4 linked regions of the Saccharomyces cerevisiae S288C genome follow. The gene in region 1 interacts genetically with each later gene. Each region holds a gene or a part of one and is shown in the gene's direction. Other genes may lie near its edges. The genes, in order: SEN54, HXT3, HFL1 and YCR102C.

What was found.
Region 2: mutations in SEN54 (region 1) and HXT3 together harm fitness more than expected from each alone (negative genetic interaction), as found in Saccharomyces cerevisiae (one large-scale study listed by BioGRID).
Region 3: mutations in SEN54 (region 1) and HFL1 together harm fitness more than expected from each alone (negative genetic interaction), as found in Saccharomyces cerevisiae (one large-scale study listed by BioGRID).
Region 4: mutations in SEN54 (region 1) and YCR102C together harm fitness more than expected from each alone (negative genetic interaction), as found in Saccharomyces cerevisiae (one large-scale study listed by BioGRID).

Annotation. Positions count from the first base shown.
Region 1 is NC_001148.4:393,430-401,677, reverse strand, and holds SEN54 (tRNA splicing endonuclease subunit SEN54), read left to right. Parts: upstream 1-3,572; coding exon 3,573-4,976; downstream 4,977-8,248. Other genes in the region: MOT1 (DNA-binding ATPase), read left to right, coding at 1-3,198; BRO1 (Bro1p), read right to left, coding at 5,106-7,640; COPII coat assembly protein SEC16, read right to left, coding at 8,024-8,248. UniProt on the Saccharomyces cerevisiae protein: Non-catalytic subunit of the tRNA-splicing endonuclease complex, a complex responsible for identification and cleavage of the splice sites in pre-tRNA. It cleaves pre-tRNA at the 5' and 3' splice sites to release the intron.
Region 2 is NC_001136.10:1,158,136-1,166,594, reverse strand, and holds HXT3 (hexose transporter HXT3), read left to right. Parts: upstream 1-1,934; coding exon 1,935-3,638; downstream 3,639-8,459. Other genes in the region: YDR344C (uncharacterized protein), read left to right, coding at 4,146-4,589; hexose transporter HXT6, read left to right, coding at 5,275-6,987. UniProt on the Saccharomyces cerevisiae protein: Low-affinity glucose transporter.
Region 3 is NC_001143.9:526,611-534,377, forward strand, and holds HFL1 (Hfl1p), read left to right. Parts: upstream 1-4,335; coding exon 4,336-5,592; downstream 5,593-7,767. Other genes in the region: histone chaperone NAP1, read right to left, coding at 1-30; FMP46 (putative redox protein), read right to left, coding at 220-621; TRK2 (Trk2p), read left to right, coding at 1,205-3,874; MRS4 (Fe(2+) transporter), read right to left, coding at 5,940-6,854; sphinganine kinase YSR3, read right to left, coding at 7,457-7,767. UniProt on the Saccharomyces cerevisiae protein: Vacuole membrane protein that recruits ATG8 to facilitate the degradation of vacuolar integral membrane proteins during early-stationary vacuole turnover (EVT) when cells enter stationary phase.
Region 4 is NC_001135.5:301,142-308,988, reverse strand, and holds YCR102C (uncharacterized protein), read left to right. Parts: upstream 1-3,521; coding exon 3,522-4,628; downstream 4,629-7,847. Other genes in the region: seripauperin PAU3, read right to left, coding at 814-1,188; YCR101C (uncharacterized protein), read left to right, coding at 5,959-6,507; EMA35 (Ema35p), read left to right, coding at 6,768-7,718; YCR099C (uncharacterized protein), read left to right, coding at 7,690-7,847.

The DNA of each region.
Region 1 (8,248 bases):
GAATTTCCTGTATTTAGGGAGCTAGTACCTAGCTTAAAAGCTCTGAGGACTCAATGTCAAAGCCTACTGGCTACCTTTGTGGATGTAGGTATGTTACCTCAGTACAAACTACCCAACGTAGCAATTGTGGTTCAAGGCGAAACAGAAGCCGGTCCACATGCGTTTGGTGTTGAAACAGCAGAAAAAGTGTACGGCGAATACTATGATAAAATGTTCAAATCCATGAACAACTCTTACAAACTATTGGCCAAGAAGCCATTAGAAGATTCTAAGCATCGCGTGTTGATGGCAATCAATTCAGCCAAAGAATCCGCAAAACTTCGTACAGGCAGCATTCTCGCTAATTACGCATCATCCATCTTGTTATTTGATGGTCTACCTCTTAAATTAAACCCCATTATCAGGTCGCTAATGGACAGTGTTAAAGAAGAAAGGAATGAAAAGTTACAAACGATGGCCGGAGAATCGGTCGTACATTTGATTCAGCAACTGTTAGAAAATAATAAAGTTAATGTGTCTGGTAAGATAGTCAAAAATCTCTGCGGATTTTTATGCGTTGATACTTCAGAAGTTCCTGATTTCTCCGTAAATGCAGAATATAAAGAAAAAATATTGACGTTAATAAAAGAATCTAATTCGATTGCCGCACAAGATGACATTAATCTCGCAAAGATGTCGGAAGAGGCTCAACTAAAAAGGAAGGGTGGGTTGATTACGTTAAAAATACTATTTGAAGTTCTTGGGCCTTCTATATTACAGAAACTACCTCAGCTTAGATCGATTTTATTTGATTCATTATCTGATCATGAAAATGAGGAAGCAAGTAAAGTTGACAACGAGCAAGGTCAAAAAATAGTCGACTCATTTGGTGTACTAAGAGCTCTATTCCCATTTATGTCTGATTCGCTACGTTCTAGTGAGGTTTTTACCCGTTTCCCTGTTTTATTAACGTTCTTAAGATCAAACTTATCTGTTTTTCGTTATTCAGCTGCAAGAACTTTTGCTGATCTGGCTAAAATTTCCTCCGTGGAGGTAATGGCTTACACCATACGTGAGATTTTGCCTTTAATGAATAGCGCTGGTTCTCTATCCGATCGTCAAGGGTCCACGGAGCTTATTTATCATTTATCACTTTCTATGGAAACCGATGTTCTACCTTACGTCATTTTCTTAATAGTTCCACTTTTGGGTCGCATGAGTGATTCGAACGAAGATGTGAGGAATTTAGCTACAACAACATTTGCTTCTATCATCAAATTAGTTCCTTTAGAAGCTGGTATCGCCGATCCAAAAGGACTCCCAGAAGAACTAGTGGCAAGCAGAGAGAGGGAGCGTGATTTTATCCAACAAATGATGGATCCTTCTAAAGCTAAGCCATTTAAATTACCCATTGCCATCAAGGCGACTTTAAGAAAATATCAGCAAGATGGTGTTAACTGGTTGGCATTCCTGAACAAATATCATCTACATGGAATATTGTGTGACGATATGGGTTTGGGTAAAACATTACAAACCATCTGCATTATCGCAAGCGATCAATATTTGAGGAAGGAAGATTATGAAAAAACGCGTTCTGTTGAAAGTAGAGCCTTACCATCTCTCATAATATGCCCCCCATCTTTAACTGGCCATTGGGAAAACGAGTTTGACCAGTATGCTCCCTTTTTAAAGGTTGTTGTGTATGCCGGTGGCCCAACTGTCAGATTAACTCTGAGACCACAGTTAAGTGATGCTGATATTATTGTAACATCATATGACGTAGCTAGAAATGATCTCGCAGTCCTAAACAAAACTGAATATAATTATTGTGTTTTGGATGAAGGACATATAATTAAAAACTCTCAATCAAAACTTGCTAAGGCTGTTAAAGAAATTACTGCAAACCATAGATTAATTTTAACCGGAACTCCCATCCAAAACAACGTTTTAGAATTGTGGTCTCTGTTTGACTTCTTAATGCCGGGATTTTTGGGAACGGAAAAGATGTTCCAGGAAAGGTTCGCAAAGCCAATCGCTGCGTCAAGAAATAGTAAAACATCATCTAAGGAGCAGGAAGCAGGTGTACTGGCTTTGGAGGCACTACATAAGCAAGTTCTACCTTTCATGCTGAGAAGATTGAAGGAAGACGTTCTATCTGATTTACCACCTAAAATTATTCAGGATTACTACTGTGAATTAGGTGATTTACAAAAACAACTATACATGGATTTTACTAAAAAACAAAAAAATGTAGTTGAGAAAGATATTGAAAATTCTGAGATTGCTGATGGCAAGCAACATATTTTCCAAGCTTTACAATACATGAGAAAATTGTGTAATCATCCAGCTTTGGTCCTTTCACCAAATCACCCGCAATTAGCGCAAGTACAAGACTATTTAAAGCAAACTGGTCTAGATTTACACGATATTATCAACGCTCCAAAACTGAGCGCATTGAGAACATTACTCTTTGAATGTGGTATAGGTGAAGAAGATATCGACAAAAAAGCAAGCCAAGATCAGAATTTTCCTATTCAAAATGTCATATCACAACACAGAGCCCTGATTTTCTGCCAACTAAAAGATATGCTAGACATGGTTGAAAATGACTTGTTTAAAAAGTATATGCCCTCCGTAACCTATATGAGGCTAGATGGAAGCATTGACCCAAGAGACAGACAAAAAGTTGTTCGGAAATTTAACGAAGATCCCTCTATTGATTGCCTACTGTTGACCACCAAGGTCGGAGGGCTGGGTCTGAATTTAACTGGTGCAGACACCGTCATTTTTGTAGAGCATGACTGGAATCCAATGAATGATCTACAGGCAATGGACAGAGCACATAGAATTGGTCAGAAAAAGGTTGTTAATGTTTACAGAATTATTACGAAAGGTACGCTTGAAGAAAAAATCATGGGTTTGCAGAAATTCAAAATGAATATAGCTTCTACAGTTGTTAATCAGCAAAACAGTGGATTAGCATCCATGGATACACATCAGCTGCTTGATCTCTTCGACCCCGATAACGTTACCTCACAGGACAATGAGGAAAAGAATAATGGCGATTCCCAAGCAGCCAAGGGCATGGAAGATATTGCCAACGAGACTGGTTTAACTGGCAAAGCCAAAGAGGCCCTCGGTGAATTGAAAGAGCTATGGGACCCATCTCAATACGAGGAGGAGTATAATTTAGACACCTTCATCAAAACTTTACGATAAACAAATTCTTGCATTGGAATGACGCGTATACAAGGTCATTTTTGTTTTATTTAACGCATTTATGTATTATCAACTTGTAATATAATACGGTATATTAATGGAGTCTTATAGAATTTACGGGTATATTCAAATCAGTATTGATAATGTTTTCATATTCTCTTGTTAAAATTCAGGTTATTAGCTGTCTATTGATTATGGCTTGGACTTTTTTTTTATTTTATTATTTTTCATAGTTAAGTTGCGCCAAAGGGAAACTAGAAACAGTTTAGTCGAACTCTGCAGAGCTTCATCTCAGTATGAAAAATTATTCATTTGAGCTATCGAAACGTTTGGATATAAACATACATAAAACCTCTGTTCTTCTGCCAATTTAAATGCAATTCGCTGGGAAGAAAACTGATCAAGTGACCACATCTAATCCGGGCTTTGAAGAAGAAGAAGAAGAAGAAGAAGAACTACAACAAGATTGGTCGCAACTCGCATCGCTCGTTAGCAAAAATGCTGCTCTTTCACTTCCAAAGAGGGGTGAAAAAGACTATGAACCAGATGGGACTAATTTGCAAGATCTGCTTCTCTATAATGCAAGTAAAGCCATGTTTGATACCATATCAGACTCAATAAGAGGCACAACAGTAAAATCTGAAGTAAGAGGATACTATGTTCCCCATAAACATCAAGCCGTTCTACTTAAACCCAAAGGCAGCTTTATGCAAACGATGGGAAGGGCTGATAGCACAGGCGAACTCTGGCTTGACTTCCATGAGTTTGTTTATTTGGCAGAGAGAGGCACTATTCTTCCTTATTATAGATTAGAAGCAGGCTCTAACAAAAGCTCAAAGCACGAAACAGAGATTTTACTCAGTATGGAGGATTTGTATTCGCTGTTTTCATCGCAACAGGAAATGGACCAATATTTTGTGTTTGCTCATTTAAAAAGGTTGGGTTTTATTCTAAAACCCAGCAATCAAGAAGCAGCAGTCAAGACTTCCTTTTTCCCATTGAAAAAGCAACGAAGTAATTTACAAGCAATCACTTGGAGATTACTTTCATTGTTTAAAATACAAGAGTTATCGCTGTTTAGTGGTTTCTTCTATTCTAAGTGGAATTTTTTTTTTCGTAAATATACGACTTCACCACAGTTATACCAGGGTTTAAATAGGCTTGTTCGTTCCGTGGCTGTACCAAAGAATAAAAAAGAGCTATTGGATGCACAATCTGATAGGGAATTTCAAAAGGTAAAGGATATTCCCTTGACATTTAAAGTATGGAAACCCCATTCTAATTTCAAGAAAAGAGACCCCGGTCTTCCTGATTTCCAAGTTTTCGTTTACAATAAAAATGACGATCTTCAGCATTTTCCTACCTATAAAGAGCTGCGATCTATGTTTTCCTCACTTGATTATAAATTCGAATTTTTAAGCGAAATCGAGGATGATGACGATTGGGAGACAAACTCCTACGTTGAAGATATCCCACGAAAGGAATATATTCATAAGAGGAGCGCGAAATCTCAAACTGAAAAAAGTGAGTCGTCTATGAAAGCAAGTTTTCAAAAAAAAACTGCACAGTCTAGCACGAAAAAGAAGAGAAAGGCGTACCCACCTCACATACAGCAAAATCGTAGATTGAAGACGGGATATCGGAGCTTTATTATCGCTATTATGGATAATGGCCTTATTTCGTTTGTAAAAATGTCCGAGGCTGATTTTGGATCTGAAAGTGTATGGTATACACCTAATACTCAAAAGAAAGTAGATCAAAGATGGAAGAAGCATTAAAGGGACTTTTGCTAAATCGCAGTTTCTTTATCCTTGCAAAACTGGCTTTCAACAAATCCGGTATATATATAATTATCATATTAGTTGAAAAAAAAAAGCTACAATAAAATTAAGAAATAAGAAATGCACCTAACTGCTGTATTTGGAGTACATATTTTCATCAAAAACAGAGGGTCTATTGTAAAAGGACGTAGGATTCTCTTGCAGTTCACGTTCTTCGTTTTCAACTGCTTTACGTCTTCTCAAGTCGTACATATCCTCTTGCGATTGTTTCGGTGGTACTGGTGGGGCTGCCATAGTAGGCGTTGCAGCATATGGCGAAGCTTCATAAGTTCTTGGTGGAATACCGGGTCCTTGAGGTAAATCACTGCCGGCACTTATTTTGAGATTTTGAAATTGGTCCCCTAAATTGAGCCCTTGTCTAGATAATGACTGAAAGGCTGCACTTTTTTGGGGCAGTAATGGAGGACCCCCAACGACAGACGCTTTAGAATCAAGTGGAGGGAGGGGAGGAGCGGGAGAATTAGCTGTTGAATCCTCGGTCTGCTTTGCAACTCTCACTCTTTCTGCTAAGTCTCTACTCATATTGAATAATGAATCATAGAACTCTATTCCTTTTGGCAAGTCGGATGCAAAAATACTGAATGATTTCACTGCTTCTTGCAGCTTATCAAAAAAATTCTTACGATCTTCTAAAAATTTTTCTTCCCCAGAAGATTTATCCTTGAAATTTGAAAGGTGAAAAATTTCATCTAGCTTGGCTTTGATGTCATCTATCATTGAAGATTGTTTGTAAATTGTCGCCTCTATTCTTGTGCTCAAAGGCTCGAATTTCTCCAGTTCCACCTCGAATAAATCTTTGAGCTCAACATCGGATTTCCCCTTATTAATAATTAATAATTTTGTGATATCATCGTTGTTGATTTCGTCTCTTAGTTCAGACAAATTTCTCGAACGTTCCTCTTTCAATGTTCTTAAGTCTTCCGCATGGCCCTTTACTTGTTTTAACAACTCTAATATCTTGTCGTTTTTGGTATCATCGATATCCAATAGGCTAGGTTGTGGAGGCGTATTGCGATTAAATTCGTCAAACTTCTTCCATATTTTTCCATTGTCATTCAATAGATTGATCTCGACAATATGTGGTTTTACGCATGCGAACAATTTTTCGTCTGAGTTTGAAGCAGCTACTAAAGAAGATTTTAGTTTTGTAACATTTTCTTTTTGATCATTGGGTAAGGCAGAAAGGATTTCTAAAATTTGTTTCCTTTTGAAAACAATTTTGTTCATCTGTTCTTCTATATCCCTAAATTCATTTGTTTGGATAAATTTACACCATGTCTGAATTTGGTCCCTCATCAATTGTCCCTGTGTATCCGTATTCGAGAAAATATTTCCGTCACTAAATTGTTTTTCCAAATCACTCAAGAGCCTGGGTAGATTTGTAAATTCGATGAAGGAAGAATATTCCAAATTTGCTGTCTCAGTTTCTTCAACTTGCTTTCTCAACAGCGTCGCTTTTTCTTCTGAGTAAATACTTTCCTTTTCATAGACATCTAGGGGAATAATTCCTCTGTACAAAGAGTCACATTTATTTGCAACATCTTGCATATATGGTTCTAATATCTTCTCCCATGTTGGAGATTTTATTGCATCGAGCGCCTTAATGGAATCAACCTGCACAACGGCTGGAACGCTTTCATGATATATAAAATCGTTATCTTTAATCAACTCCTTTTGTTTCTTTTCTAAAGTTTCTTTAAACCCATCAAAGTCTATAAATTCCACTAACCACGTTTTGAATGGAAGGGATGAAATCAATTGTTGCATAGAAAAATCGAGAAAAGCAATTGCTTCGCCAACTCTATTTTCTTCTTCAAGGTGTAAACCGTGATAATAAGCGCTTAACGATTTGTAGAAATGCAGTTTGCAAGTAACTGTCGTTTTCCATTTGGGTTCACCATAAATGGCCACATCGTCATCTATTTCTTTCATAAAATCGTGACATTTCTGAAAGAGGTTACACGTGGCTCTAGAAAGTTTACTGATTAATGTATATTGCTTGGATGATATTTGATCATTTAATAATTTCAAGACAAACAATTCTTGAGCTTCTGCATGGCAAATATTAGCCAGAAACCTAGTGTTTTCTGACTGAAGATCGACTGAAGGTGAGTTCAAAAAATTTTCTGATAGATATTCAAAACAGGAAAAAGCTTTTGTCAAATTTGCGATTGAGTTTTTGTAGTCCTCATTGATATTCTCCCTCGCAATTTGGGTAAAGATTACAGCAATGTTGAACAAAGTACAAGACTTTTCAAATGCTAACGTATGTTGCGTGTATTTCAATCCTTTCTGGGCCGATGAGTATTCTGCGTCATACCAAGTGAAATCCATTTTTAATCTTGATCCTTTGCTACCCAGGCGAAAATAAAGATGCTCCAAAAATGAGTAATATTTTAGATTTTGTTCCGACAATGAAGAAGGTGCTAGTTCTCCATTTGCATTATTCCTTAAGTGATCCAGTTCTGAAGTAGCTTTCTCATCATAAAATGTTCTCCATTGTGAGGAGCCGTATGATTTCTTGAGATATGAGGAGAGGCCTTTTTTCCAATCCAGCTTCTCTGTGTCTTTTAGCTTTAGGTCAAATAAGTAAGGTTTCATGAGTAGAACCAGTGAGTAATGAACCTAGTAATGCTCCAGTCAGCCGCTTTCTGATTCAAGATTTTTCCACGACAACCCCCTTAGTACTTCTTCGAATTGTAACTGAAGCCTTGCTTGCTTTCTGTTTCTCGGTGATCCTAACCCGGAACCGGCGTCCTGCATTAATCGAAGCAAGAAAATGAGGTATGATAGAATAATATTAGTATAAGCAAAGTTTCAGATCGCATTCATCTGATTTCTTACTGACAACGATGCATAACCTAAATACGGATTCCTGTAATCATTGTTTTAATAAAATTTACTACGGTTTTTATAAGTATATAATATACATCAAGAAAAGGGAAGGCATAAGGGTACCATGAAAGAAAAACGTATTACTATAATTATTGTATGTTATCCATTACATTAACATAGCCTCTCGCTGTTTTCTTCTTCCTTCTCGTACTTGCTGGTTTGGGTCCTCCTGCCAAACTCAATAAATCATCCAAACCGTTTGCCTTTTTGCTAGTCAAGTTTACGCCAGAAATCCTTGATATGGGAGAGGATGGTGATGGAGAATTGTTTGGATTGGGTCCTGTAGGAGAAGGGGATGTTTTGATCGGCAAAGG
Region 2 (8,459 bases), on another chromosome or scaffold:
ACTACAGCTGAAGTAAGCGTCTCACGTAGCGCGCAGTCTATTTTTGGAAGTTAGGGGCTAATGATTTTCTACGGCTGCCGAGCATGGATGATGCCTTTATTTAGAAGCATGTAAAAAAAGCGTCTCAAAACACGGAGAAATGCACTAACAATGGGTATACTAGACTTGTTAAATTCAAATTTCGGCGAAAAGAGACTTGTATTTCATTAGTTACTTTTCGTTCAGTTAAGCATGATCGTCTAGGCGTTCCATTAACTAGTATCTTGGTTCTTTATGTAGTTTGAAGTTATCTCTGTAATTAGGCTCCTCATTTGCCAAAGTTAAGTATTGGATGTGTGTGCAGTATGCTTTCATGCCTCTATAGCAAAAATCAATGGCTCTCAAGAAATTTGTCGTAACCCACTTTAGCATATTTATTTACATTTTGTCGGAATATTATTTCTTCTCTACAGAAAAATGAAAGCAACAGAATTGAATTTCGACAAGTCACAAACAAACTTTGTAGACTTTTTATTACAAAAATTTATTAAGTGACATTCACTACTTGTATTATTGTGAGAGAAGTACATAGCACCGGGAATCTTAGACAGGGTTACTACTAACTACAACCCTCATACTGCCTTACGTAGCCAAACAAGAGCAGTTCTCAGATTACAATGGGAGATCATTTGAAAATATCAAAGATTGATCAAGAATATTTTACTGGTGGCATCCGCCCGCCCTTTAATTTCGGAATTTAGTGCTGCTTACAACTCTTCATTTTCCTCATGCGGGACGCCAGCTTTGGTGCGGGATGAAGGCAATATCCAAACCAGCATCAGGAAAAGCCTGAAGAAATGTGGTGCCTAATGCTCTTATCTAATCTGTATCCACACCTTACAGCGAAGTGTTCAATTAACTGTGCGGCTAATTCTGACACTTCATCAAAAATTACACCGGTATATCAAATGGCGGTGTAGTTTGAAAAGTACACTGTATGTCCATTAATAAAATTACGCCGAAGAACACTGACTAGCTATAAATTCTCTTCCGGCGTCCAATTTCAACCTAAGGCAAGTATTGTTAATCAATAATGCGTGTTGGTAAATATGAAGCCCGATGTTGATTAAGAAGAATTATTCGTATAAGAATTAAGCAAGCAAAATTAAGGAAAATTTTTTCTTTCCTATTCGTCATCGCAGACAGCCTTCATCTTCTCGAGATAACACCTGGAGGAGGAGCAATGAAATGAAAGGAAAAAAAAATACTTTCTTTTTCTTGAAAAAAGAAAAAAATTGTAAGATGAGCTATTCGCGGAACATTCTAGCTCGTTTGCATCTTCTTGCATTTGGTAGGTTTTCAATAGTTCGGTAATATTAACGGATACCTACTATTATCCCCTAGTAGGCTCTTTTCACGGAGAAATTCGGGAGTGTTTTTTTTCCGTGCGCATTTTCTTAGCTATATTCTTCCAGCTTCGCCTGCTGCCCGGTCATCGTTCCTGTCACGTAGTTTTTCCGGATTCGTCCGGCTCATATAATACCGCAATAAACACGGAATATCTCGTTCCGCGGATTCGGTTAAACTCTCGGTCGCGGATTATCACAGAGAAAGCTTCGTGGAGAATTTTTCCAGATTTTCCGCTTTCCCCGATGTTGGTATTTCCGGAGGTCATTATACTGACCGCCATTATAATGACTGTACAACGACCTTCTGGAGAAAGAAACAACTCAATAACGATGTGGGACATTGGGGGCCCACTCAAAAAATCTGGGGACTATATCCCCAGAGAATTTCTCCAGAAGAGAAGAAAAGTCAAAGTTTTTTTTCGCTTGGGGGTTGCATATAAATACAGGCGCTGTTTTATCTTCAGCATGAATATTCCATAATTTTACTTAATAGCTTTTCATAAATAATAGAATCACAAACAAAATTTACATCTGAGTTAAACAATCATGAATTCAACTCCAGATTTAATATCTCCACAAAAGTCAAGTGAGAATTCGAATGCTGACCTGCCTTCGAATAGCTCTCAGGTAATGAACATGCCTGAAGAAAAAGGTGTTCAAGATGATTTCCAAGCTGAGGCCGACCAAGTACTTACCAACCCAAATACAGGTAAAGGTGCATATGTCACTGTGTCTATCTGTTGTGTTATGGTTGCCTTCGGTGGTTTCGTTTTCGGTTGGGATACTGGTACCATTTCTGGTTTCGTCGCCCAAACTGATTTCTTGAGAAGATTCGGTATGAAGCATAAAGATGGTAGTTATTATTTGTCTAAGGTTAGAACTGGTTTAATTGTCTCCATTTTCAACATTGGTTGTGCCATTGGTGGTATTATTTTGGCTAAATTGGGTGATATGTACGGTCGTAAAATGGGTTTGATTGTCGTTGTTGTTATCTACATCATCGGTATTATTATTCAAATTGCATCCATCAACAAATGGTACCAATATTTCATCGGTAGAATTATTTCCGGTTTGGGTGTTGGTGGTATTGCCGTTTTATCTCCTATGTTGATTTCTGAAGTCGCTCCTAAGGAAATGAGAGGTACTTTAGTCTCCTGTTACCAACTGATGATTACCTTGGGTATTTTCTTGGGTTACTGTACCAACTTCGGTACTAAGAACTACTCCAACTCTGTGCAATGGAGAGTTCCATTAGGTTTGTGTTTTGCCTGGGCTTTGTTTATGATCGGTGGTATGACTTTCGTTCCAGAATCCCCACGTTATTTGGTTGAAGCTGGTCAAATTGACGAAGCAAGAGCATCTCTTTCCAAAGTTAACAAGGTTGCCCCAGACCATCCATTCATTCAACAAGAGTTGGAAGTTATTGAAGCTAGTGTTGAAGAAGCTAGAGCTGCTGGTTCAGCATCATGGGGTGAGTTGTTCACTGGTAAGCCGGCCATGTTTAAGCGTACTATGATGGGTATCATGATCCAATCTCTACAACAATTGACTGGTGATAACTATTTCTTCTACTATGGTACTACCGTTTTTAACGCTGTTGGTATGAGTGATTCTTTCGAAACTTCTATTGTTTTCGGTGTCGTCAACTTCTTCTCTACTTGTTGTTCTTTGTACACTGTCGATCGTTTTGGACGTCGTAACTGTTTGTTATATGGTGCCATTGGTATGGTCTGCTGTTATGTAGTTTACGCTTCTGTTGGTGTCACCAGACTATGGCCAAATGGTGAAGGTAATGGTTCATCCAAGGGTGCTGGTAACTGTATGATTGTCTTTGCCTGTTTCTATATTTTCTGTTTTGCTACCACTTGGGCTCCAATTGCTTATGTTGTTATTTCTGAAACTTTCCCATTGAGAGTCAAGTCTAAGGCTATGTCTATTGCTACAGCTGCTAATTGGTTGTGGGGTTTCTTGATTGGTTTCTTCACTCCATTTATTACTGGTGCTATTAACTTCTACTACGGTTACGTTTTCATGGGCTGTATGGTTTTCGCCTACTTCTACGTTTTCTTCTTTGTGCCAGAAACTAAGGGTTTGACTTTGGAAGAAGTCAATGATATGTACGCTGAAGGTGTTCTACCATGGAAGTCTGCTTCATGGGTTCCAACATCTCAAAGAGGTGCTAACTACGATGCTGATGCATTGATGCATGATGACCAGCCATTCTACAAGAAAATGTTCGGCAAGAAATAATTTCACGCTAAACCGTAGTGCTGAATAATAGTGTATTTTAAGATTCGATGTGCTAGTCAATAATGATAAATAATACACAAGATTTATGACTTTATATATATAATTCTCTGATACAGTTAATAAAAGACATTGGTACATGATATCAAACAGAATTTTAACATTTCTTGATCCAGTTTGTAAACAAAACAAACAATTTTTCTACCATTTAACTTCATACCATCGGCGAGAGCCGAACAGGAAAAAAAAGAAGTCTCCGGTTATCGTAAGCAGTATCAAATAATAAGAATGTATGTGTGTGCAATTTGTTATACCCACGAAGAAGTGCGCAGTAGAGTTAGAAAACCAACTGAGTAATCTTTACTCCCGACAATCGTCCAATAATCCTCTTGTTGCTAGGAACGTGATGATGGATTTCGTTTGAAATCCGGACGGAAAACTCAAAAGAAGTCCAACCACCAACCATTTTCGAGCCTCAAGAATCTCTAAGCAGGTTTCTTTACTAAGGGGATGGCCTTTCTGTCCTGGACATTTTTTCCTTCCTTTTTTCATTTCCTTGAAAGGAACAGATTTTTTTTGACTTTTGCCACACAGCTGCACTATCTCAACCCCTTTTACATTTTAAGTTTTCGGGTTGAATGGCATCAAATTTGGGAAAATTTAGCTTACTCAGACACCAACACATTTTTTCATGAGTATTGTTGGAAAATCTTTCCATGCTTATCAGCCGGAATACGGAACAACGGCTGCTGTGATGCCGCAAAGGGGCAAGGAAAAAATAAGCAACACACACCGAAACAGGAGGAAGAAATTCCGAACACAAGCCTAAGAAGACACCGCAGTTGTTGCAACATGTTCACATGTTCATCCCCCTGCTACTACTTGGAAATTAATGTAGGGGTAATTGGAGTGCGCCGGCCCGTGCTTTCAGAGGAACAAAGGAAGAATTGTTAAAAAAAGGCAGTGACAACGAGCACGGGTGCACCATATGGTGTGATAAGCAACCTAGGACAAAAAGAAGTGCGCAGTTCCTGTGTGCGGCGCCAAGACAAATGTTTCATATGCTTCTCCAAGGGGCTACGCTACCTAGCCTCACCACCCGATCTCTTTTTTTCCTGAACGCAGAGGGGACCGTACGAAAAAAAATGTTTTTTAGGCAACGGAGATTCGTTTTATCCACGTTTACCCCACAAAAAGTGCAGGTACATTGTGGGGCCCCGGCATCGAAAACCAGTTTTTTTCCTTTAAACGCTGGAAAAAAAGGAGAAATTATTGGAACTTTGCAGAGAATAGTCCGTAGGCAAATTGAAAATGTTCCTTAAAAAATTTCGTTTCTTACTCATTGAGATTATTCAGATGCCCTCCGTGCCTTCATTGAAAAAAATCCAAGAGATGTCTCGGATCTGTATGCAGATTTTGGCTTGCAGACAATGGAGAGCAAATGGGTATACAATATAGAAAGCACAGAAACATATAAAAAGAGCTCGAGAAAAGACATATGGTTTGTAACTATCTTCTTCTTTTTTCCAATTTTTCTGTTTTAATAATAAAAAAACAAGAACAAACAAGCTCAACTTGTCTTTTCTAAGAACAAAGAATAAACACAAAAACAAAAAGTTTTTTTAATTTTAATCAAAAAATGTCACAAGACGCTGCTATTGCAGAGCAAACTCCTGTGGAGCATCTCTCTGCTGTTGACTCAGCCTCCCACTCGGTTTTATCTACACCATCAAACAAGGCTGAAAGAGATGAAATAAAAGCTTATGGTGAAGGTGAAGAGCACGAACCTGTCGTTGAAATTCCAAAGAGACCAGCTTCTGCCTATGTCACTGTCTCTATTATGTGTATCATGATCGCCTTTGGTGGTTTCGTTTTCGGTTGGGATACTGGTACCATTTCTGGTTTCATCAATCAAACCGATTTCATCAGAAGATTTGGTATGAAGCATAAAGATGGTACTAATTATTTGTCTAAGGTTAGAACTGGTTTGATTGTCTCCATTTTCAACATTGGTTGTGCCATTGGTGGTATTATTCTTTCCAAATTGGGTGATATGTACGGTCGTAAGGTGGGTTTGATTGTCGTTGTTGTCATCTACATCATCGGTATTATTATTCAAATTGCATCTATCAACAAATGGTACCAATATTTCATCGGTAGAATTATTTCCGGTTTGGGTGTTGGTGGTATTGCCGTTTTATCTCCTATGTTGATTTCTGAAGTATCCCCAAAGCATTTAAGGGGTACTTTAGTCTCTTGCTACCAATTGATGATTACTGCCGGTATTTTCTTGGGTTACTGTACCAACTTCGGTACTAAGAACTACTCCAACTCTGTGCAATGGAGAGTTCCATTAGGTTTGTGTTTTGCCTGGGCTTTGTTTATGATTGGTGGTATGACATTTGTTCCAGAGTCTCCACGTTATTTGGCTGAAGTCGGTAAGATCGAAGAAGCCAAACGTTCTATTGCCGTTTCTAACAAGGTTGCTGTTGATGATCCATCTGTTTTGGCTGAAGTCGAAGCTGTCTTGGCTGGTGTAGAGGCAGAGAAATTAGCTGGTAATGCATCCTGGGGTGAATTGTTTAGTAGCAAGACAAAGGTCCTTCAGCGTTTGATCATGGGTGCTATGATTCAATCTCTACAACAATTGACAGGTGATAACTATTTCTTCTACTATGGTACTACTATTTTCAAGGCTGTTGGTTTGAGTGACTCTTTCGAAACCTCTATTGTCTTGGGTATTGTTAACTTTGCTTCCACCTTTGTTGGTATTTACGTTGTTGAGAGATATGGTCGTCGTACTTGTTTGCTATGGGGTGCTGCATCCATGACTGCTTGTATGGTTGTCTATGCTTCCGTGGGTGTCACCAGATTATGGCCAAATGGTCAAGACCAACCATCTTCCAAGGGTGCTGGTAACTGTATGATTGTCTTTGCCTGTTTCTATATTTTCTGTTTTGCTACTACATGGGCTCCAATTCCTTATGTCGTTGTTTCTGAAACTTTCCCATTGAGAGTCAAGTCTAAGGCTATGTCTATTGCTACAGCTGCTAATTGGTTGTGGGGTTTCTTGATTGGTTTCTTCACTCCATTTATTACTGGTGCTATTAACTTCTACTACGGTTACGTTTTCATGGGCTGTTTGGTCTTCATGTTCTTCTATGTTTTGTTAGTTGTTCCAGAAACTAAGGGTTTGACTTTGGAAGAAGTCAACACCATGTGGGAAGAAGGTGTTCTACCATGGAAGTCTGCCTCATGGGTTCCACCATCTAGAAGAGGTGCCAACTACGACGCTGAAGAAATGGCTCACGATGATAAGCCATTGTACAAGAGAATGTTCAGCACCAAATAATTTGCGAACATTTTTATTAATTCATGATCACGCTCTAATTTGTGCATTTGAAATGCACTCTAATTCTGATTTTATATTTTTAATGAACCCTTACGATTTATATTGTATGGCAAGATGTTGCCAATAGAAGTATAATTTTTTATTAATTTTTTTTCTTTTCTAAGCTTTGAAGAAAAGTTAACAGCTTTACCCTTCAAAGTTATTGTTTTGTAGCGCTAGAAGCGAAGTAGGCGCTCTTTCTCGCATAAGCTACCTTAGGAGGAAAAAAAAAGTCTTCTATTATAAACAAAGTACTCTATAATTCATCAAAAAAATTAATTATGAGCCGGAGCTTTTCACAATCAGTGTACATATGCAGGGCTCACCTCGGTACTGCGCTTTTCTACCTGAAATTAAATAGAGTCACCTCATTACAATGAAGCTACTAAACTCCTCAATGTTAAACTGGCATTGCGACAGAGTAGAGAAGGCTTGTCAATAAACCTGAATTTTTGGTAATAAAAAGAAAATGGGGATCATATTAGGCCTTTATGATCATCCTTGGCAAACTACATCCCATATATGTTTGAAAAAGGGTTAATGATATGAAAATGTTTTTATTTAATAAGAAATGATGTACTACTGGCGGCGATTGGTAAAGAGGATCTAAGTTTTCTTTCCTGGCAGATGATAAACAGTTAGCATTCCCCAAAAAAAATAATTTCACCTTGTTAAAAAGGTAATTTGCGAGAAAACATGAACAGTCTGCCCCTTAATGAACAGTTTTTGGCCAAAGTCCTATTCGAATATATTTTAGTGGAAGAAAATCTTGTAGGCTGTAAACTTATTGATAGGCCCATTTGGTACTATTATATGTTATTTCAGCAACAATTTATGGAAAGGTTGCCGTAAGTAACCTTTAGATGGCAGGAAGGAAAAAAATCATGCTTTAAGAGTGGCTTCAGTAGCTAAAAAGGTAGTATACATCGCACAGTGAATATTCGCCCCAATGGACGGAAAAGTTCATGCAAGATTAAACGCAGTACCAGAAAGCCGCGTTTGTATGGTTTTATTGGCGTCCATACAAATAACTTATTAGCGGGGTGACAATTCAGAGACAATTCTAATGTCGAAAAGTGTACCATCACTAAAGTATTCCAGGGACTTCTGCCCACCACGTAGAAACGCGTTGTTGAATTATTTGACACAGTAATTTACCTAACTGGTCAAATGATTCTGTCTACTTCATTGGCTATTTTTCGATTTCTTTAACCTGCGACAGGAATTCAACAATGTTTAAACAAAAAATTCTGACAGCTAACTAGTAATTTTTGACATAAAATAATGATTATCTTCACCATGATAGAAATGCAGGACACGTAGTAAAAAGAAGAGATTTTTCCTTCTAGTACCGCGTGCTCAATACCACACTTTTGCAAAAATGCATCGATATATTAGGTAAACTCAAACAACGAAAGGAGGAATAGGCATTC
Region 3 (7,767 bases), on another chromosome or scaffold:
CTTGGGTTTCGTTCTGATAGGGTCTGACATGATCTTGCGCTTTGCTCTTGGTCCCACTGGGCTCACTAAATCCTCCTAATCTACCATCAAACTGCCATTTTTGATCCCAAACGCTGCTATTTAAAAGGAAAAATTTTCCCAATTACGCGGGTAATACAAAAAAGATATAGCCCATTGTTATAAAAATATGTATGTGTTCAATATAGTGGTATATAGGTGTTATTTGCGCTGAATGATGTACTTGTCAATGTCTGCGGGCTCATTTCCCACCAACTTGTTTTCCCAGTCGACCCAAAGCGCCTCCTTTGGATTCCAAAGTCCCCTCTGGACACACTTCTGCAGGTCCATCCCGAACGTCGGGTCTGTGTGCTTGTATTTGAGCACTGAATCCAGCTTTGGAATCTGCCTTTGCAACGAAACTGGGCCTTGCGGGCACGAAGTTCTCATGTATTGCAGCTGGTCCCACGTGGGAAAGCGGTTGGCGATTTCCACGTCGAATCGATGAGAGACGTCTCCCTTCAGCAACTGCAGGCATTTCTGCGACTTGATATTGGACGCGATGTCATTGGTAAACAACGAGATGGTACGTGGCTGTCTCTGCAATGTTTTCCAAAACGACATTTATTGCGTTTGCGTTTGCGATCTCCCGGTCTGTTATTTTCATTTGCACTTTTCTTAACGTTCTCTTTTGGTTTTATATGCCCCTTTCCAAGCTGGGTGGATACCCCGTCCATTGAGTGCCCGTGCCCAATCAAGCTAAAGCCAGACTAAAAAGAGGAAGAGTTCAAGAACCATCAATGCCTCCAGCACAATTTCACAACAGCTTGACACTTTGGCAACGGTTATATCAGAGCATAGCGACGGGATTAGAGAGATGCAAGACGACGGAAGAAAGAAGGGAGTGCCCGGCATGCGCTGAAAGCGCCCTGTAGTACAAGCGTACCGCCGTTGAATAGGCCATGGTACATCACACGATGATTGATAATTTGATGCAAGCTGCCATGCTCAGATGGTTGTTTCCCGTTTCTCTCTTTCACTTTTGATCTCCTGCGAAGAATAGGATGAGATGTGAATTTTCGTTTCTAATCCCCTCGGCCGTGCGGCTGAAAAAGAGAAATGATATTGGAATAACTAGGTTTCAGATGATGAGAAAAGAGGCTATTTTGTACTATTCACCGACGATAAGAGGCTGTAAGAACCACTCATGCCAACAGCTAAGAGGACGTCATCCAGGGCTTCGTTGGCACTGCCCTTCCAGTTACGGTTGGTGCACAAGAAATCATGGGGCCATCGGCTAAGAGACTTCATTTCCGGGTTCTTAAAATCATGCAGACCCATTGCTAAATACGTTTTCCCCAACTTCATCGTGGTGCACTATATCTACCTGATCACGCTGTCGATTATCGGGTCCATTCTGTTATATCCGTGCAAGAACACGGCGTTCATCGATGTGCTATTTCTGGCTGCTGGAGCGTCTACACAGGGCGGGCTGGCCACCAAGAGCACTAACGATTTCAACCTGTACCAGCAGATAGTGGTGTACGTCATTACATTGCTGTCCACGCCTATACTTATTCATGGGTTTTTGGCCTTTGTCAGGCTGTATTGGTTTGAAAGGTACTTCGACAACATTAGGGATATCTCCAAACAGAATTTTAAACTAAGAAGGACCATGACGTTGCAACAAAGGGAACTATCGGGCAGCAGTGGCAATGCCGCTCGAAGTAGGAGTTTCAAGGACAACCTGTTCCGTGGGAAGTTTGTTTCCAGAGAAGACCCACGACAATCCGCTTCAGATGTGCCGATGGACTCTCCTGACACGTCCGCATTGTCCTCAATCTCACCGTTGAATGTTTCCTCCTCTAAGGAGGAATCCAGTGACACGCAAAGCTCGCCTCCAAACTTCTCAAGTAAGCGCCAACCCTCAGACGTTGACCCAAGAGACATTTACAAATCGATAATGATGCTACAAAAACAACAAGAGAAGAGCAACGCAAACTCCACGGATTCTTTTTCGAGCGAGACCAATGGACCCGCTTTCATTGTGCAGGAACGTCATGAGAGAAGAGCCCCCCACTGCTCACTGAAACGCCATTCTGTCCTGCCATCTTCTCAGGAATTGAACAAGCTAGCCCAGACGAAAAGTTTCCAGAAATTGCTTGGCTTGCGGAGAGATGAAGGTGACCATGACTACTTTGACGGTGCTCCTCACAAATATATGGTCACCAAGAAGAAAAAAATATCTAGAACGCAATCATGTAACATCCCAACGTATACTGCTTCACCGAGTCCTAAAACCTCAGGCCAAGTAGTTGAAAATCATAGAAACTTGGCCAAGTCGGCGCCTTCATCTTTTGTTGATGAGGAGATGAGCTTTTCACCGCAAGAGTCTTTGAATTTACAGTTCCAAGCGCACCCGCCCAAACCAAAACGACGTGAAGGTGATATAGGCCACCCCTTCACCAGAACAATGAGCACCAACTATCTATCGTGGCAGCCAACCTTTGGCAGAAACTCCGTCTTCATTGGACTCACAAAGCAACAAAAGGAGGAACTCGGCGGTGTCGAATATCGTGCTTTGAGATTGCTGTGCTGCATTCTCATGGTATACTACATCGGATTCAACATTTTGGCGTTTGTGACCATCGTTCCATGGGCCTGTACGAGGCACCACTACTCAGAGATTATTAGACGAAATGGAGTTTCTCCAACCTGGTGGGGGTTTTTCACTGCAATGAGTGCATTCAGCAACTTGGGTCTGTCTTTGACCGCTGATTCAATGGTTTCCTTTGATACTGCGCCGTATCCGCTGATTTTCATGATGTTCTTCATCATCATAGGCAATACAGGCTTCCCAATTATGTTACGATTTATCATTTGGATCATGTTCAAGACCTCGAGAGACCTATCTCAGTTTAAGGAAAGTCTTGGGTTTCTCTTGGATCATCCGCGCAGGTGTTTTACGTTGCTGTTCCCCAGCGGCCCCACATGGTGGCTGTTTACAACTTTAGTCGTCTTAAACGCTACGGATTGGATTCTTTTCATAATTCTGGATTTCAACTCCGCTGTAGTAAGGCAGGTTGCTAAAGGTTATCGAGCTCTCATGGGCCTCTTCCAGTCTGTATGCACAAGAACTGCTGGATTCAACGTTGTTGACTTAAGTAAATTACACCCGTCCATTCAGGTGTCTTATATGCTAATGATGTACGTTTCGGTCCTGCCGCTGGCGATTTCCATTAGAAGAACGAATGTTTATGAGGAGCAATCGTTGGGACTATACGATAGTGGACAAGATGACGAAAATATCACCCACGAAGACGATATAAAGGAAACAGACCATGATGGCGAATCCGAAGAGCGAGACACTGTATCTACAAAGTCCAAGCCGAAGAAACAGTCCCCAAAATCGTTTGTTGGTGCTCATTTGAGGAGGCAACTCTCTTTTGATTTATGGTACCTATTCCTTGGATTATTTATAATATGCATATGCGAGGGCAGAAAAATCGAAGACGTTAATAAACCTGATTTCAATGTCTTTGCTATATTGTTTGAAGTTGTTAGCGCTTATGGTACAGTGGGTTTGTCATTGGGTTACCCAAACACCAACACATCACTATCTGCCCAGTTCACCGTATTATCGAAGCTAGTCATAATTGCCATGCTAATAAGAGGAAGAAATAGAGGTTTACCATACACTTTGGATCGTGCCATCATGCTGCCAAGTGACAAACTGGAACAAATTGATCGTTTACAAGATATGAAAGCTAAGGGTAAGTTGTTAGCCAAAGTTGGTGAGGATCCAATGACTACTTACGTCAAAAAGAGATCCCACAAACTGAAAAAAATAGCAACAAAGTTTTGGGGGAAGCATTAAAATCAAGTTTACCCCTCTTTACCTACATAAGAGCCAACGTAATTTTCTCTCAGTATTATATGTATTATCTCCGAAGTTTATTATTCTTTAACGAAATATAAAAGAAAAATAAGAAAGATTAAGACCCTAAAAGGTGTACCACTACGATTCAACAAGCACAACGAATCCTATCCGTAATATACTTTTGATTTCTGACTATTCTAGAAAAATTTTAGTTCATTTTTTTTCCCTCTTTTTACTTATTGTATTTTTCACAATTGAATTGCATTTTGTCCCCTACGAAAAAAGGCAGAAAACGAGATCTAAACCACTTTCAGATCAGAATAATAATAATAATAATAACCAACCAAAGCCATCAACAGGTCCACTAGAAGCATCTGCCAAGTTACGACCTAAGCAAAGGTTTGAGTGAAAAGTGAATTGCGACAGTACAATCACAAAAGTATAGAAACATAATTGTTATGGAAAACAAACTACTTTGTTGGTGGTTGTACTGGCCATGCGTGTATTCATCTATTATAGCTACCATAATATCTTTTTACACCATAACTAGACACTTATTAAATTACCGTAAACCATATGAACAAAGACTATCCATACGGATACTATTGCTCGTGCCCATTTTTAGTGTGTCATGCGCAAGTGGCATAATTAAGCCTGAAGCAGCTCAATTTTATGTCGATCCTATCAGAGAATTTTATGAAGCATTCGTTATTTACACTTTTTTCACATTTTTAACACTACTACTAGGAGGCGAGAGGAACATCATTACTGTTTTAAGCTTAAATCACGCCCCCACAAGACATCCGATACCGCTAATAGGTAAAATTTGCAAACCGATAGACTTATCTGATCCTTTTGATTTTCTTTTTGTCAAAAAAGGCATATTACAGTATGTTTGGTTCAAACCATTTTATTGTTTTGGTACATTGATATGCAGTGCATGGAAGCTACCCAAATTCGAAATATTTTTGAACGTTTTTTATAATATTTCAGTGACTTGGTCACTGTATAGTTTAGCACTATTTTGGAAGTGTCTCTATCCGGAATTAACTCCTTATAAACCATGGTTGAAATTTTTATGTGTCAAATTGATTATTTTTGCCTCTTATTGGCAGAGCATCATAATCCAGGGTCTAGTGGTTACTGGAAAGTTGGGTACGGGAAACCAAGATCGAACCTCTGGATATGTGTACAAGAATGGGCTCCTGTGTATAGAGATGGTGCCTTTCGCCATCTTGCATGCAGTAGCTTTCCCTTGGAACAAATACACAGCATTTAGCATACCTTATGGGGCCAGGATGAAATTCATTTACGCTTTGAAAGATTTTCTTGGTTGCGGTGATCTAATATGGGATTTTAAACAGACTTTGTTTGCTGGTCCCTTGTACTATAATTATAGGAACTTCGATCCTGAAGCCATGGATCTATTAAGCACTAGACAACAATCCGGTGCGACTATGGAAAGACTAAAGCATGGGCTAAGATTTACTGATAATGGAAGAAATAGTTATTGGGTGGCATATGGGAGTATAGATAACAACCTTGTTCCGGAATCAATAGAGGAATCATGGGAAGATGATATTGCTGGTCAGAGAACTTTTCCTGAGGATCCAAATTATCCGGTTGTTCACGACTACACGATGGGCCATCGATATAGTAGATCAATGAATGATTTAAGAAGAGATGTTCAAAGTAGGTCATCAATGGCTTGTTAAATGAGTCGTTAAATGTACGTATATACATAGTTACTGCGCTTTCGGTTATATACAAAATAAAACAACATCTACAAGCAATGCTTTTTTTTCAATTATTGTAACTTGGATGCTTATTCTAATAAAATGAAATAAATGCTACTGTAATTTTTTGCCGGAGGATTGGCTATATATGCAGAGTGGGAGTTGGACGATATCACCATTATTATTATTTTTCTATTATTACCATTGGACTTGTCTTTTGCAGCAACAAAAGTGGCAGCAGCAGCAACAGCACCACCACCAATGCATTTTGGCCTTGCCTTTTATAAGTTGTCAAAAAAAGTTGACCTCGAAAAGGGGAAAAAACATCAATTTTTCATTAAAAAATGCTTAGCACATTCATATGCAGTCCAAGAAATGGCAGTGGCTGGTATATTAGCCACTATCCTTGGTTTCAAACCTCGCCAAAACCCCTTCCAACCATGAACCTCCAGTATGGCTCTTGAGGCTCTACCAAAAGTGTTCGCATCCTTCATTATTTCGATGGAGACAGTTTCGCTGCCTCTAACCTGTAATACAGTCTTTATGCAATCCAACGGTGTAGTTAACGCAGCACATGTTGCACCACTTATCCCACCGCAAAGACAATGAATCAATGGATTGTAGGAATTTTGTGGGTTGAAGAATTTGCTGGCAGATTCATATATCATGAAATTGAACGCTGCAAATGGGATATTCATGGCCAATGTTGTGGGATAGGAGTAGTAAAATGCTGCAAAGCCTTCATTTTGATATATTTGCTTAGTAACATTCCAAACTCTTAGATTAGTATCCAATTGTAGTCTTTGTTTAACGGTGTCAAAGGGGTTCATCAATGCATCCGCAGCAATGGTAGCAATGGTACCACTCAGTGCGGTCTTCATTGGTTGATGAGTTTGCATATCTTCAGGGCTTATCAGGCGAGCTTTGCAAAACTCGTATGTACCAAAATATACTGCATGCGCAGGCCCTGCCCCCAGTATTACCGATTGAACACCCTTCCATAAAGCCATCGAACCTTCCATTGTAGATATTTTGGATATCTGAGATATCATCCCTGTAGAGGCAGCTTTATTCAATCCTGCAGCCTGCACTCGGGTTTTCAGAGCATCTATTGGAAACATCAAAGAATGCTCCATTATACCTGCAAATGCTCCTGCCAGTAACTGGGAATGTAGCGGAGCATGTGATGGAAGAGCTTCGTAGTCGATTTCCTCAGCTATTGACAGTTCTGAAGTATTCATAATATTAACTGATATTTCGGTTGAGTTTTTTACTTCTTCACTTTGTACTTCTCACGAAAGTCTTCGTCAATAAACCTCTGATAAAGTGAAAATTCTATGAGATTCCAATAAAACCTCCAAATATCTTTATATACAGCTTACTACTTAGATAAGATGACGTTCGCCAATGGTAGGCAAAAGATAGCAGGGTGTTCTTGCCTTTCAGTCTTCGCCATGCTCTCATTCAAGAAAGGGTGCCAAAATACCGAAAAGAGACACGATCGGGGGTGTCAAAGTAGCGATTCCTGTGGGTTAAAAGAGGGTGAACCACGGCAAACATGCATGTGTAAAACCCAAAACGCCGATCTAGGGCCTGCGACGCATGGTACGAACATCCTGAAGGTATATAAAAGAGCTAAAGTCTTGACTCATGCCTGAAATCTTGATTTTTCATTGTTATATCCTCTCTATACATTAGTAAGCACCATAGATGGGCTGGCTATCAAAAGCGAGAAAAAAAAAATGCTGAATTCCAAATATGTACTCATCGGGGTGAATTTCAATGATGTGTTATGTAGATACAATATATATGTATAAGTCACTAAATGCATACATACGAGAGTCTACCTTAAGTTTGTCCAAGTGAAAAAAACTGGGCATAGCAAAAAGACGGTTGTAGGTATACCTGCGTATATGAGAAACCTTCCGACGATTTCCACTTTGGAAACACCGCTGTACAATAAACACTCTTCTTCTTCACTTGTCTCGTTATGGAAATGAACCTTTTCGCTTCTATCATCGTGAAATCTGAGTAGTTTAATTAACAGCGTGTAGACAGCTGTCTTGCTAATGACGTCTTTCCAAACAATCACAGAAGCGACACCTACCAGAGGCCTCAAGAACACCTTAGAACCACATGATGCGTACCTACTAC
Region 4 (7,847 bases), on another chromosome or scaffold:
TGCTTCTTTATATAATTTCTACTCAGAGTTTTGGTGCTCAATTAGTGACATCTGCTTTATCTTCTATTCCATTTTATTATGCGGCCGAATGATACTTTTCGGCCGAATATTGAGCGTCTCAGCCGACCCGCATTAAATGACATTGGGATTATTGCAAATGTTCGCCCTTCAACTCTTCCTTGCTTAACTGATAATTGAATCAAACCATTTCCACTCCACCCCTGAGAAAATTGCAACAAATAACACCGCCTTATCCTACAAATCTTTAGTTATTACCTCCTTAACACTATCCTTACTTTAACACTTACTCCATTTTCTGACTAATAAAAACATATACACACATAAGTAGGCACAGAAATGCAAATATTCGTATAACAGGAGACGAAAATTCAATATGGTTACTCTGACTTGTCGCTCGCATAGTCCCTGATCTACAGCATTAATCCAAAAAGAGACATGTGTGTAAACAACTCCGGGCCAACACACTGAAAAATAAAGAAATCAATTTATTTTCGTGGGAGAAATAAAAGCAACAGAGCCAAACGTATCAAACTTCAGCACTACTCATTAAGAATATATGCAATAATACTGGATAGCACTTTCAACTGCTTCCCCAGAAGGATAGCCTAGAAGAAAGTTTCTTTTCCGTTGTTGATGCACCTAAATAATGTCGTCTTGATCAAATATAGGCTTATAGTATTGATATATGTTTATATAGTCAACTGTATTTATATCAAAAAAAAAAAAAGATTTTTTTTTTATTCTTTCGTTATTTTTCAATGTCTATGGAAGTTCATTAGTAAAGGCATGTCTCTATTTTGGAATAGCAGTGTAGATACCGTCCTTAGATAGAGCACTGGAGATGGCTGGTCTCAATCTAGTGGAGTACCATGGGACACCAGTGATGACTCTGGTGACTTGTTCAGCTGGAATACCAGTCAACATAGTGGTGAAGTCACCATAGTTGAAAACAGCTTCAGCAATCTCAACTGGGTAGGTCTCAGTTGGATGAGCTGCTTGAAACAAGTAGTATTGAGCCAAATGAGCTCTGATATCGGAGACGTAAACACCCAATTCGACCAAGTTGACCCTTTCGTCAGATGGAGATAGAGTGGTAGTGGCTGGGGCAGCGGCAATACCGGCAGCGATGGCGGCAACACCAGCAGCGATTGAAGTTAATTTGACCATTGTATTTGTTTTGTTTGTTAGTGCTGATGTAATCTTAACAAGAAATAGTGAAATGAAAGCGCATACCTCAAAGGCATATAGTTGAAGCAGCTCTATTTATACCCGTTCCTCCATCTGTCATCACTACTTAAACGATTCGTTAACAGACGCTCATTTAGCACCTCACATATCCTCCATATCTCATCTTTCACACAATCTCATTATCTCTATGGAGATGCTCTTGTTTCTGAACGAATCATACATCTTTCATAGGTTTCGTATGTGGAGTATTGTTTTATGGCACTCATGTGTATTCGTATGCGCAGAATGTGGGAATGCCAATTATAGGGGTGCCGGGGTGCCTTGAAAAACCCTTTTACGCGCGCCTGTGAAGTTTCCGCTTTCGGTCAAAAAGAATATCCGAATTTTAGATTTGGACCCTCGTTCAGAAGCTTATTGTCTAAGCCTAAATTCAGTCTGCTTTAAACGGCTTCCGCGGAAGAAATATTTCCATCTCTTGAATTCGTACAACATTAAACGTGTGTTGGGAGTCGTATACTGTTAGGGTCTGCAAATATGTAAACTCTCGGCGAATGCCTTGGTGCAATTACGTAATTGTAGCCGCTGAAGGCGGATGGTATTGAGAGAAGTTGATGTTCAAAGTATCGTGTATGATAAAAATAGAATTGTAACCAGTTCGTAGTAGCAGTATTAAAACTTTGATTCCGAGATGTAATCCCTCTTTTCTAGCCAGATATGAAGGAAAAAAGTGTAAGGGTAGTTGAGAGCGCTACTTTATTTTATTCTATTTTAAAAATGTTCTCTAGGAGAGGTGTATTAATAGTTGGTACTCCATGTAGCTTCTAAGTCAAAAGAAATGTCTCTATCTTTATGGTAACGGTTCATCGTTAGAGCTCAATTGTGCTTCTTGGATGTATTTCCAAAGTCCCACGTTTAATAACCCACACAACATAAATGTCCTTGAATATAAAAAATTTCGAAAGCTCCCCGTAAAGAATGCTTGATAATCAGCTCCATCAAAGAAATACTTTTTGTTCTTCCAAACTTTTCCTCTCAGCAAATACATATTTATTTCCTTTGCAACCACTTTCTAGAGAATTCATAATAGTTGATAAAAAAGGCATTTTGTCTTCTATGTTCATAATTTCAATTCTTGAATTTTGGAAATCGTGAAATGTTTCGAGAAACCGCCTTCAATAATTAGAAAACAAAATAAAAGATTACAGTTAGGCCACTCAAAAATACAATTCAGATAAGAAAGGTGCGATAGTGGGGAATAAGAATTGGAAATCCGCTTGATAATCAGGGAAAACTTAAAGAACGGGGTGTTAAAAGTCTGTGAAGTATAGATCAAACTCGCACTAGCTAGCAATACTCATGAGAACCTAGGTGAGTGTAAAGCAGTGAACCTTCTTTAGAAAGCAGAGAAAAATCCTCCAAGTTAACAGTCTTCCATACTTACTCAGTATGGATCAAGTTCCACAGTTTGTCCACTTCTGTAGAATAAACTTGTAGTGCTTTTCCGATGAAAAGGGATAGAGTCTTTAAAAGACTTGATCTTGGCATTTTTATCCTCCTTCAAGCAGAATGGCTCCAGTAGAGTTGTTCTGAACGCTTCTGGGCAGTGAGCAGCATTGAAGAAAAAGTACTCAGCATTCCAAGCTTTGTCTTCATATAATTATAAATTAAAACTCATAGCCACCAATTTCCAGGTTTTGGTCGCAATATGCTGCAGAATCAATGGCTTGTTTCGTTACTATACTGGTCCGACGGAGTTTACTTTACTCTAAATTTGCTGAAATAGCAAGGCCACACGCCATACAATTAACAATAGTTCATTCAGTTGAAAGGTTTCCGAGATAGAAAGTGCGGTAGTAGAGAAGAACAATAAACGTATCAAACTTTGCGCAGTCATGGAATTTCCAGGAAACATTTTTAGGTTTTCATATGACAGCAGTTCCTGTCCGAGAGCTGTGCCTTTCTTGTCTCAGCTGACTAAGATGTCTCGGATCCGCCCGGCTGGCGCGCGGCTCCGTCTAGTGGGATAGGCTTTCAACACATAGGAAACCCTTCAGATGATGAGAACACATCGAATCCCAGAGAGTAATATCACCAAGAATAAAGCAACCATGATAGACAATATTACTAAGTGTTCCTCAACAGATATTGAGAAAAGTTCTTATAAAGCGGGCAGGCTTTTTTCTATTTTTTTCTTTTTCTTTATCTAGCTTAAGATCCTTCTAACCATATTCTATAAAATGGCAAGCTGAATACAGATTATCAACGACAATTACATATAACCTACAAACAGGCAAGTTGCAATTCCAGAAACCATGAAGGCTGTCGTCATTGAAGACGGTAAAGCGGTTGTCAAAGAGGGCGTTCCCATTCCTGAATTGGAAGAAGGATTCGTATTGATTAAGACACTCGCTGTTGCTGGTAACCCGACTGATTGGGCACACATTGACTACAAGGTCGGGCCTCAAGGATCTATTCTGGGATGTGACGCTGCCGGCCAAATTGTCAAATTGGGCCCAGCCGTCGATCCTAAAGACTTTTCTATTGGTGATTATATTTATGGGTTCATTCACGGATCTTCCGTAAGGTTTCCTTCCAATGGTGCTTTTGCTGAATATTCTGCTATTTCAACTGTGGTTGCCTACAAATCACCCAATGAACTCAAATTTTTGGGTGAAGATGTTCTACCTGCCGGCCCTGTCAGGTCTTTGGAAGGGGCAGCCACTATCCCAGTGTCACTGACCACAGCTGGCTTGGTGTTGACCTATAACTTGGGCTTGAACCTGAAGTGGGAGCCATCAACCCCACAAAGAAACGGCCCCATCTTATTATGGGGCGGTGCAACTGCAGTAGGTCAGTCGCTCATCCAATTAGCCAATAAATTGAATGGCTTCACCAAGATCATTGTTGTGGCTTCTCGGAAACACGAAAAACTGTTGAAAGAATATGGTGCTGATCAACTATTTGATTACCATGATATTGACGTGGTAGAACAAATTAAACACAAGTACAACAATATCTCGTATTTAGTCGACTGTGTCGCGAATCAAAATACGCTTCAACAAGTGTACAAATGTGCGGCCGATAAACAGGATGCTACCGTTGTCGAATTAACTAATTTGACAGAAGAAAACGTCAAAAAGGAGAATAGGAGGCAAAATGTCACTATTGACAGAACAAGACTGTATTCAATAGGCGGCCATGAAGTACCATTTGGTGGCATTACTTTCCCTGCTGACCCAGAAGCCAGGAGAGCTGCCACCGAATTCGTCAAGTTCATCAATCCAAAGATTAGTGATGGGCAAATTCACCATATTCCAGCAAGGGTCTATAAGAACGGGCTTTACGATGTTCCTCGTATCCTGGAAGACATTAAAATCGGTAAGAACTCTGGTGAAAAACTAGTTGCCGTATTAAACTAGATGACGAACAGATATTATTTTTCTTTTGTATACACAGTTATTACGTATGTTAGAGTGACTTGGTTTTTTTTTTTTTAATGAAATTGTTTGTTATTGATCACGCCTTGTAGGGGAAACAGATGAGAACAGTGAAAATCATAACTCATTATGTGATTTGTTGTGCGTCACCCTTCCATGATTATATATCCTTACTATCTACTATCCAACTACTACATATCTATTGAACTCATATGTACCAAGCACATAAAATTATGCACCTATTTCCATTGGCAAAGACTTGGCGAAATTTAATACACTGTAATAATATCCGGCGAAGCTCTTTAAGAATTCTTACCTATAATAGCGGCTCGCTGTCCGAACGATTGCGCCGCACTTTTCTGCCTCTTACATTCCCTTTTCCTAAGGCGATAAGCAGGCTGAATGGAAACTACGATATAACGCAGTAGAGGTCCCCCAAGAGCTGGAAAGAAAATATTGGTTTGATAGCCAGCACTATTCTATCCAGTGGGCTCTTGTACCATTTTCTGTGGTATGGCTTTGATTCAACTGCATACGTAGTTAACGCGATCAGCCGCACATGGGCATTATCATTTTCAGGGGTACTGGTAAACCCTATTGTTTAGAAAGAATACCTGGTAAGCGGGTCTGTCGAGTCTTTCCCACTAATTTTGAAGAAAAAATCTTTACCTAGTTTGAGAATAATCGTGGCGTTCGTAACATCACGAGGTGAGAGAGACCAGTTAGGTAAGGGTATGCCAATAAAAGGTTATTGATACTTCAACGAATCTTCATATTAAAAGTGCCTTCACCAGAATAAAATTCTAACGTCATCCTAAAAAGCATCAATTGGACATAGTGAGGGAAAGTTTTCACCATTTAAAATCTATTCTGCAGAATACCATTCTAGACTATGATCCCTTAAAGATTCCCATTCTTTAAATATACAAATCAGGTTCAACAGCGTATCTTTATGGTATTATCGTACTACTGGCGACATTAGCAAATCCAAGTATCCTAACTAGGTTTCTAGTCTTATCTCTTGGTTTTCTCCATTAGATGGTAAACACGTTACCTTGATGGCTGTACAGGAAGTGAACATGGTCAACTCAAAGTCACCGGACTCAAAATAATTGCAATTACCTAGACTGGATATTTTTAGAATATTATGAGAATATTTTTAGAATACTTGCAACCCAAAATATATTTAAATGCCGCCAATTTGCAACCAAAAGATTATCCGCTACCTTTTTTTTAGTCATTGAATTGTAGCATAAAGTTCCGAGCTTTGAAAAAAAACTTTGAACTAAGAAAAGGTAAGAGATCCTCAATTATGATATTACTTCATGCCATATATACTCTTTGGGTAATTATACTACTTCCGCTACTCAATGCAGAGAAATTTGTCCCAAAAGTAACGGAGGCTCCTATAGAAACATCATTTAATCTAGTGAGTTTTGATGATTCCAACACTTCTATCAGATTAGATGGTTGGGGGGTTGTATGGATAAGTTTCGACGCTGGAGAAAATTGGGAAACGGTCAAAGAAATTGAAGAGCGCATTTTCAGATTTACTGTTGATCCTTTCCATGGACAGGAAAGAGGTTTCGCTTTTATATGTGAATCACCCAAATTCTACATTACCGACGACCGTGGGGAGTCATGGAGGGCTTTAACTATACCCTCATCAGAAGAATATTTAGATGGCGACTGTTTTATAACTACTCATCCTAGAAACAAAGAACTTCTTATTGCGAATTGCTATAGCTATATGATAGACGCAGACGTTTTATATGACCCAAGTGAAATTTACTTGAGCAATGATGGGAATCCTTTTTTAAAATTAAACCTTCCTTGGAAAAGAAAAAAGACGACGATATAACAACTTAAAGCTGTCATTTCATTAAGTCTAGCAAGGATTCTGACTTTACTGGTAATGATACTTCGATACTCTGTTTGTTCTCTAACCGTGAATACGATGAAGAATATCGCTTAACTGCTACCTACACACAGTTGGCTTTCAGTAGTGATGGAGGCAAAACGTTTAAAGATTTTGATGAATTTAAAGATAAGATTGTTACTCAATACAAGATATTGAAGTCATATGTGGTCGTTTTAACGCAAGATGACGGGCATAACGAGATGTCATCTACGGACATCTGGATATCCAATGATGCATCTACTTTTCAAAAGGCACAGCTGCCTACTCAATTACGGCACGTCAAAGTGATTAAAATTCGTGAAGATTCTATCGGAAGGATCATCCTTCTTATATCGACAGAAATCACAAATGAGGAAAATGCTGATCCAGATCTCTCAGAGATTTTCATATCAGATTCGCAAGGGTTGAAATTCTCACCTGTTGAATGGACACCAAACCATCAGTTTGGAAATTTTAGGCTCACTTTTCCTGATTTCTTGAAAGGGACAATATTTGGATCGTTTCATCCTTCCATTGACTATTCTAATCACCAAGTAAACTATACTGAAAATATAGCCGGAGGAGAAACCAAAATATCCGTTGATAACGGCCTCACATGGTCAAATTTGAAAGTTGTTGATGAAGAAAATGCCGATTCGTTCGGCTGTGATATCACTAGGCCTGAGAGATGTTCACTTCAGGGTTATTTTTACAATCTAAAACTTTCAAATCCTTCTGCTGGGATCATATTAATGACAGGTTCTGTTGGCGATGACAATGAATTCGATCGGAAGGACCGAAAAACTTTCATTTCTAGAGACGGTGGTCTAACATGGAGGGTGGCCCATAATTCTTCTGGATTATATGCTACTGGTGATCTGGGAAATATTATTGTATATATCCCGTCTCCTTCATATAAAGATGGTGATGTACAATCCAAACTTTATTTTTCCTTGGACCAAGGTAGAACATGGAATCAATATGAGCTTGTTGACGCTTTATTTTATATCCATCCATTAGAGTTGATTAATACAACGCCAGATGGATCAGGCTCAAAATTTATTTTAAGCGGACATCTCATTACTACGGCTAGTCAAGAAGGAAACAACACCAACATCTCATATATTGCAAGAAGTGTCCTGTATGCGATCGATTTTTCTGCTGCATTTTGACTATAAAACGTGTGAAGAGGAAGATTTCGAAGACTGGAATTTGGCAGATGGGAAATGCCTTAATGGCGCCAAATACATGTATAAAAGGAGGAAACAGGACGCCCGTTGTTTGGTAAAAAGGACATTCAA